2 linked regions of the Macaca mulatta genome follow. The protein of the gene in region 2 interacts with the protein of the main gene of each other region in a biochemical or structural test. Links are inferred from orthologs where the notes say so. Each region holds a gene or a part of one and is shown on either strand. Other genes may lie near its edges.

Evidence for each region. The genes of interacting proteins can lie anywhere in the genome.
Region 1: the proteins of LRRK1 (region 2) and SNX21 form a complex in vitro, tested with the Homo sapiens proteins (2 studies listed by BioGRID and IntAct, with this or other methods). The link is inferred for Macaca mulatta from reciprocal best matches to the Homo sapiens genes LRRK1 and SNX21.

The regions. Positions count from the first base shown.
Region 1 is NC_133415.1:98,631,744-98,635,388, reverse strand, and holds the end of SNX21 (sorting nexin-21), read right to left. Parts: intron 3,511-3,645; exon of another isoform or gene 3,371-3,510; coding exon of another isoform or gene 3,134-3,370; intron 2,953-3,133; coding exon 2,278-2,952; 3' UTR 1,780-2,277; coding exon of another isoform or gene 1,661-1,779; 3' UTR 340-1,660; downstream 1-339. Other genes in the region: ACOT8 (acyl-coenzyme A thioesterase 8), read left to right, coding at 1-106, 1,661-1,779. UniProt on the Homo sapiens protein: Binds to membranes enriched in phosphatidylinositol 3-phosphate (PtdIns(P3)) and phosphatidylinositol 4,5-bisphosphate. May be involved in several stages of intracellular trafficking.
Region 2 is NC_133412.1:91,436,674-91,440,644, forward strand, and holds the end of LRRK1 (leucine-rich repeat serine/threonine-protein kinase 1), read left to right. Parts: coding exon 1-82; intron 83-2,006; coding exon 2,007-2,184; 3' UTR 2,185-3,457; downstream 3,458-3,971.

The DNA.
Region 1 (3,645 bases), on a different chromosome or scaffold from region 2:
CAGCACAAGGTGCACTTCATGGTCTCATTGGACCATTCCATGTGGTTCCACACCCCCTTCCGAGCTGACCACTGGATGCTCTATGAGTGCGAGAGCCCCTGGGCTGGTGAGTGTGGGGCCGTGTGGGACAAGGGCACTGACCTTGGGTGGCAGATGCTGACTTCCCCTGACTTCCTGTGTGGCACTGCACAGGTCACTTCCTTTCCTTCCCTCCTAGGCTTTCGCATCTTCATCTTCAAAATGAGAGGGTGAGGCTGGGACACCTGCTCTGCTCTAAATTGCTAGAATGTGCTGGGAATGTGATTCACCTTCTCCCAGGGACCCAGTTCTAGTCCCAGAACCAGTTCAGATTCTTTTTATTACAATAGGCAAATCGTGTCTTCCGTCTGAGCCTGTTTCCTCATCTAAACAAAGAGGGTTACATTACAGCAATGGTATCCAAACCCGGCAGCCCATCAGACTGCCATTTGGGGACGCCTTTTCAAAATAGATTCTGATTCCACCCTCAAGATTCTGACTCAGTAGGTCTTGGATAAGGTCCAGGAAACTGTATGTTTAAGTTCTCTAAGTGACTCTGATTAACCTGATTGGGGTTGGAGCATTCAGTGGTCCCTAAGGGCCTCACGGCTTGGACATTCCTTGCAGGGGAGATAGAGAAACAAGACTCATTCATCAATGTCTAGCTTCAGAACCCTGACCTCCTTTCCAAGGGAGTACATTTCAAATGAAGAAAGGCTTTGCTCGATAAACCAAGGGAAAAACTTAAGGACTCGTTATACTCAGATAAGGGGTACTCTCACGTACCAATAGCATCCCAATCCAAGATTGATAACCTTGAAGTGAGGATGTGGGTTCAGATTTGGCCTCATGATGGAACCAAATTCCTGACCCTCTCTGGATTTCAGTCCTGGTCTGGAAAACTGCACAACACATAACTGCTTCCTTTGGCTACTGTGAGAACTGAGTGAGCTCTGCTATGTGTAAGGGAAACCAGCCATCATCCTCATAAACATCAGACTCAGGCCCAAAGCCAGCAAGGGAGCAAGAATCTCCAGGTGGGGAGGGAAGAGGCCAGACCTCGTGGCTTTAATTCCTCTGCTGAGCCCCTTCTTCCCCTTGGTGGTGGTAGTGGGGATATTTTTCAGGAATCACCACTTGGAGGATCTGGCTTGATTTATTATACAGGGAGCCAATAGGTTTCCTAACACGAGTGGCCAGAGGGATAGCAGTTCTGCTTGGCCAAGCAGTTGAAGGAGACTGTTCTGAGAGCTCCTCCCTCCGTGATCTTTTTGAGGAAGCGAGCAGAGGTGTGAAAGTGCTTTTAAACTATCAAGTGGGGTTCCTGTGGGAGGAGTTACCCCTCAATGATGGTCCATAATAAGATCAAGAAGGGGCATTTGGAGCAGCCATGACACTCAGCACACCCTTGTGTGGGGCAGCCCTGCCCTGGGCCAGACCCTTTTCAAGAAGTCCACTTGGAGGTCGGGCGTGGTGCTGTGCTAAGCCTGTAATCCCAGCTGCTCAGGAGGCTGAGGTGGGAGGATCCCTTGAACCCAGGAGCTTGAGACCAGCCTGGGCAACATAGACTCTGTTTCAGAAAAAAAGAAGTGCATTTGGCTGTTCTGAAGCAGGCCATCCTCACCTTTCACCTCACCCACAGGTGGCTCTCGGGGGCTGGTCCATGGGCGGCTGTGGCGTCAGGATGGAGTCCTAGCTGTGACCTGTGCCCAGGAGGGCGTGATCCGTGTGAAGCCCCAGGTCTCAGAGAGCAAGCTGTAGCCAGAGGTACCAGCTTGGCCTGGGGCTTCAAGAACCTCCCATCTATCCCCATTCCTGAGACAGCAGTTACAGTCCCTTTTGGCCCTCACATCCAATAAAGAGACTGATACCACTGGAGTGGCTGGCCTTTAATTCCCCTGGGCCAGACCTTGCCTTCATCCCTCAACTCCAGGACTCCAGGGCAGAGTCCCTGGCCTTCAGAGGAGGCCTCGCCAGCTTGGGGGCCCACCAACAAGGGAACATTGCCCCTGACCTGTGCCACAGCCCCTTGGCTGTTTATAAGCTGGAGAGGCTGTGTCAGACTTCTTCCCTGTACTATACCAGGGCAACCTCAGCCAAAGCTCATCCTGAGCCCAGCTCAACAGAAGTTTCCTTGATCTGCTTCACATTCTCTTTTGGAACTTCTAGGTGCTCCCAGCTATTCTGTCCTCATTGGGTCCTTCCCCTGCATTCTGGGGCAGCCTCTCTCCTCACAGTGGCCTTAAACCTAGGCAAGGGTTAGTCCAGCACCTCCTTGATGAGCAGTTCTTTGAGACTAGGGGGTGGCGTGGGGGTAAGGCCTGCCTCCTGCAGGGCTTGGAGCCGAGCCTCTGATTGACGTTTGTCCAGGCCCAGGCGCCAGGAGAGTCGAACATGGGCCTCCAGAAAGGGTGCCAGCAAAGGGTGGAGGCTCTTGTCCCCAAGCAGCTGCAGGGCCTTCTCACAGCATGCCCGGGCCTCCCCAGGGTCTTCCAGCTCCTGGTGGCACACGGCCAGCCCAGCCAGGGTCAGCAGGGGGCGGTCTGGGCCAGAGGGGGTGCCCAGCTGGGCTTGCAGCTGCCAGGCAGTGGCCCAGAGTGCCAGAGCCTCACGATAGAGGCCAGTACAGGTGAGGCTCTGTGCCCGCCGCAGCTCTGGCAGCACGAAGAAGTCCTGCAGGTCTGGGGCATGGCGCAGCTCAGGCACTGCCTGCAGGTGACCCAAAAACTGCTCAAAGGCCCGGCTACGGCGGGCAATGGTCTCTGCAGTAAAATTCCGGCGCAGCCGCTTACGGGGGAAGGAGATGGCAGCCATTGGGCCCCGGAATTGCCGCTGCAGGTTTCGGTGCAGCCGCTCAAAGTCCGAGTAACGGCGAGAGATCTGGGCTGGCTGGCAATCTGGCGGCCCTGGGCCTATCACGGCGAGGGTGTAGAGCTGCAGGGAGGGTGGGTGTCAGGGCAAATGCAAGTTGTCCATGGGCCCGTTCCCTCCCCATCCCTCCCCATCCCCCACACTCCCAGCTGTGCCTCCCCACCTCTTCCTTTCACCCCTGGGATAGCACCCAGGAGGGCGGGAGCTGCTGCCACAGTGGCGGGGAAGCCCAGTCCCATCTTACCTGAGGTTTGTCTGAAATGACCCAGGCCCAAGGCAGCAAGAAGAGAGAAAGACAGAGATGAGCTTCAGTGCCCGGGGCTGCTGCCCCTTTTTTTGTACTCCCTTCCCATAGAGCAGTTAGTTCTTCTGACAGCCCCCGCTGGAAAACCAGACAAGAGCTGAAACCCAGGCCAATCTCTTGGGTCTCCTTTAGGAACAGCACGGAGCTTGTTCCACTTTGGACACCTGGCCTCCACATCCCCGGTCAGAATTTTCCAAACTAGACCCAGAGGACAGGTCTGTAGATAGCCACAATTGCCATAACTGTGAAAAGTATACTGGCCTAGGACTCAAGTTCTAACCTAAGGTCAGCTACTCCTTCCCTGTGTGACCTCAGGCAAGGCCATCACCTCTGGGTCCACTTCTGTTTCTAGTGAAGGAAGTGCTCGGTGAAGTCAGTGTTTGTCCAAAAATGAGACATGTACAAGTATTGGTACCTGAGGTTTTTAGGTGGTGTGCACTAGAGTAAATATC
Region 2 (3,971 bases):
TCATTGGCCTGGAGAAGGATTCTGGCGCCCAGCGGGGCCGAGTCATCGCCGTCTTAAAAGCCCGAGAGCTGACTCCACATGGGTAAGACTGAGTGGCAGCTCCTTTAGGACCCAGGCAGCAGCATGAGCACAGAAGGCCCCATAGCCAGGTCTTGCACAGTGGCTTTGCTGCCCCTCCATTCTCCCAAATAGTGTATCCACCAACTTGGCTATAAGGCAAAGTGGAAACAAGATGGGGCCCCGCAGACAGCTCCAAGGGGCTCCACACTGGCCATGGCTCCCTGTTTCTGGAGTACCCAGTGCACCTGTAGATCAAGTACCCTACCTAACGAATGCCTCCAGGGCCAGAATTCAGCTGCAGTTGACATGCAGATGCATCCAGGTGATTGATTCACTGTTCTTCCTGCCAAGCAGGAAACCCTACCCGAGGTGTCCACCTGCCCACACAGCACCCTATGGGGACACATGACATAGGCACACCTTGTCATCTCCAAGCCTGGGGTCTCAGCTCCTGCCCTTCCTGGGCTGAGGCATGGTTCAGTAACTGTCTGTGGGTGAGTCCCCCCAGGATTATGCCAGTCTCCTCTGCGAGGGTATGCTGGGCAGGGTGGCCTATCCCGAACATGGTCTACATGGCTGGAGTGATATGAGGCTGGTACCAGCTGCAGCTCCCCACAGTGTTTACACCCCTCACTTTGACTACCGAGCCCCACATGGTAAATCTCCCTTATGAAAAGTCCTCAATTCAAATTGTGTGTGTGTGTGTGTGTGTGTGTGTGTGTGTGTGTGTGTACTTTGGAGCTCTTCCACTTCACACTAGGCCTGTTTTCCTGTAGCGTGAGTTATCCCCCATCCCTGGGCAAGTGGGTTTTTATTTCATAAGAGGGTGGAGAAACCCCACTCAGCTTGTTTCTCCCAGAGCAGGACAATGACCAAGGAGGCATCCATGGCAGTCTCACTCCCTTGCCTGCCAGCTTTGAACTTTGGCAGTGAATCCCGGGCCAGTGAGCCTTGCTCTGTTAGTGGTTCTGGAAGCAAGATCTGGATCTGCTCCCGAGCTCTGCCAGAGTCTGTGGCTGGAAGCCTTGAACTGACGGAGTTCCCAGCTTGCAGGTTGGCCTTCTGGAGGAAATGGGTGTGCAGCACCCAGGTTGGGACCTTGGCATACCTGCCGTTAGTGTCCTAATGTTTAGTTGTTGTTGTTTTTCCTATCCATCCCCTAAAGCCAGATTTTACCTCTTTCTCGCTATAGGGAGAAAGAGGCCCCAGCGGTCAGCCTAAGGGGAGGCCCTGGCAAGGCCATGCGGAGTCAGAGGTCCCTGGACATCCCAGTTTGCAGGAGCACCTCAGTGCCACGCAGGCTGCACACACGGGGCACAGAGGGAGGAAAGGAAGGCAGTTAGTATGTGCTCGGGGTGGGGCAGCAGCAGGGCAGGGAGGCTGCACTGCGGCCCAAAAGGAAACTTGTAGCGCACCCACCAATCCTGCAGAACTGTCCACAGTTTCAAAAAATGTATATAGTGATGACTTTGGGGCAGTAGGTTTTCCATTTAATATATGAGCCTGTATTTCCTAAGCATGTAGAAACAGAATGAGAGAAGAATCCTATTGAGCTTAGTGGCAAGGGAGTTGAGTTAAACTCGGTCATGAGCCATTCACAAGCAGAAATTTGGTTCATTGGTGTTTTCTGGACGCTTTGAAGTTAAGTCACGGATGCCTGATCTGATTGCTTCTGTGGCTTTCCAGGGAGTCGGACTCTTACAGACAAAGCCCATGGAAGTGAACTCATGCCCACAGCCCATGTTTGGACTTTATAAAGCCTAAGCCCGCAGGCTGGGCCACCGGGGAGAAGTGGTGCATCTGAGCACACCCCAGAGAGGGCTGGCAAGCAGACATACTCCCCTCCCCTTAGCCAGCTCTGCCTTCCTCAGAAGGCCCAGGGTGAGGGTCCCAACCCCACCCAAGTGGGGACCCTGTGAGTTTCCTCAGACCCCTTCTCTCTGCAGGGTGTTGGTGGATGCTGCTGTGGTGGCAAAGGACACTGTTGTGTGCAGCTTTGAAAACGAAAACACAGAGTGGTGCCTGGCTGTCTGGAGGGGCTGGGGCGCCAGGGAGTTTGACATTTTCTACCAGTCCTACGAGGAGCTGGGCCGGCTGGAGGCTTGCACACGCAAGAGAAGGTAATTCCTGTGGAATGACAGTCACACATGCAAAGCTGGCTGGTCCCAGGTTGCAGCCTGACCCCTCTGCCATCAGCCTCTAGTTCTCCAAGGACCTAGAAGACAGATGGAGCTCTCCCCTGAACTCCTTGACTCCTTGCTGCTAAGAAGTGCTGAGAAGTTACCCGCCTAGGGGTGGCTCCAGGGTTCTCTGGTTCTCCGGAGCAGAGTTATCTGAATACCCCATCCCCCAACTGCTGATTTCACAGGCCCAGGGAAGACAGTGGTATCAGGCCGGGCAGGGCCTCCGCTGGCCTCCTCCATCAGTTTCCAGGAGCAGGGGTGGAGGATCCCGTTCTGAGCTGGGTCAAACAAAGTAGAGCCGGGCCTTCCTGCCATCCCCGGGTCTCAGATGGAATTACACTAGAGGCCCTGGGTTGGGAAGCAGTTGAGGTAGAGCAGGAGGGGGGCTGTAACCCCTGCCCTTTCCCCACCGGAGACCTCAGGCTCTCAGCACATTCCACAGGCTCCTGAGTCCCTGAGGCCTCGGCCAGCTTGGGCAAGCCAAGATCAGATGTCTCTGAGTTCGGGAAGGTCTCCGTGTGGGAAAGCCCTCGGAGGACGCTGGGTGAGGAGCGTTGCCCCATCCGGAGAATGAATGAGTTCCTTTAAGTGTCGCAGCCAGAAAGCCCAGAGGCGCATAGTGCAAGTGCACCAGCTTAGCCTTTACATTCCTCTCCACCGACAAAAGGAAGGGGAAACTCAATCAGCAGGACTTCAGAAAGGGCCTTGTGTTTATAGCTTTGTCAAGTAAATTTGGACGCAGCTGGAGCACAAGCCCTGTTTGTTTGCACATAAAAATCTTGTTTATCACTTTTAAAAATTCAGTAATATCTCAGTGGTCAGGCTTCTGGTTGTGAAATCACATTGTATGGGATTTATACCAAATTATGTATTTGCTAAACTTTCGCTCCACACGTGTACAGCAGAGTACAAAAAGGAAAATTGTCCATAGGGGGCTTATGGATACAACAGCAAACATTGTATAAATTATGCACATGTATGTATTACACACATGCACACATATAGGCACACACATGTGCAAACATAGCCACATTTTTGTCAAGGGTTACCCTTTGTGGCTCCTTAAACCAGAATGGGAGTTTGAAAGAGAGATCATACTCCAGCTGAAGTTTGTTGACCCTTTTCTAAAATTAAAAAGATCAAATTTAGTATTTGCGGGATATGCAGGGGGATGAGACTCTTTTAATCTCAAAATAAACAGATTCTTTCAAGAATGAAGCTGTGGCCTCTGTCTTTCGAGTGCTTATGACCACAGCACAGACTCAGTCCCTCCCAGACCCACTGGCTATCTGGGGGTAACGGGCAGCCCCTCCTTGCCCACTGTACCAACATGCAGGTGGCCCCTGAGCAGCTTCCAAGGGTGGAGACACTGCTCTGTCAGTCACAGGTTGGAAAAAGCGAGTTCCCCTACTTTTTTTTGTGTGCCAGCCTGGGCACCAAGTCCCAGGGGGTTGAGGGTCTGTGCTTCCTGTCCACCTTCCTGCCATTCTCTCACCCTCATCCCACAGCAGGGCCTCAGGAGTCCCACTCTCCCTCTCCTTTCATTCCAGTGCACCACAGCTGCCCAGTTAACCTCCAGATACAAACCAGAGTCTGTCTGCCCCAGGTCCCAAGCTTTTGCTTTGGCATCACCTGAGGCCAGGCTGCTTTGCAGGCATCAGGCACCAAACTCACCCTTTCCTACTCCTGGAAAAGCCCAGCCCCAGGCCTCACAGAGCCAGGGGAGGG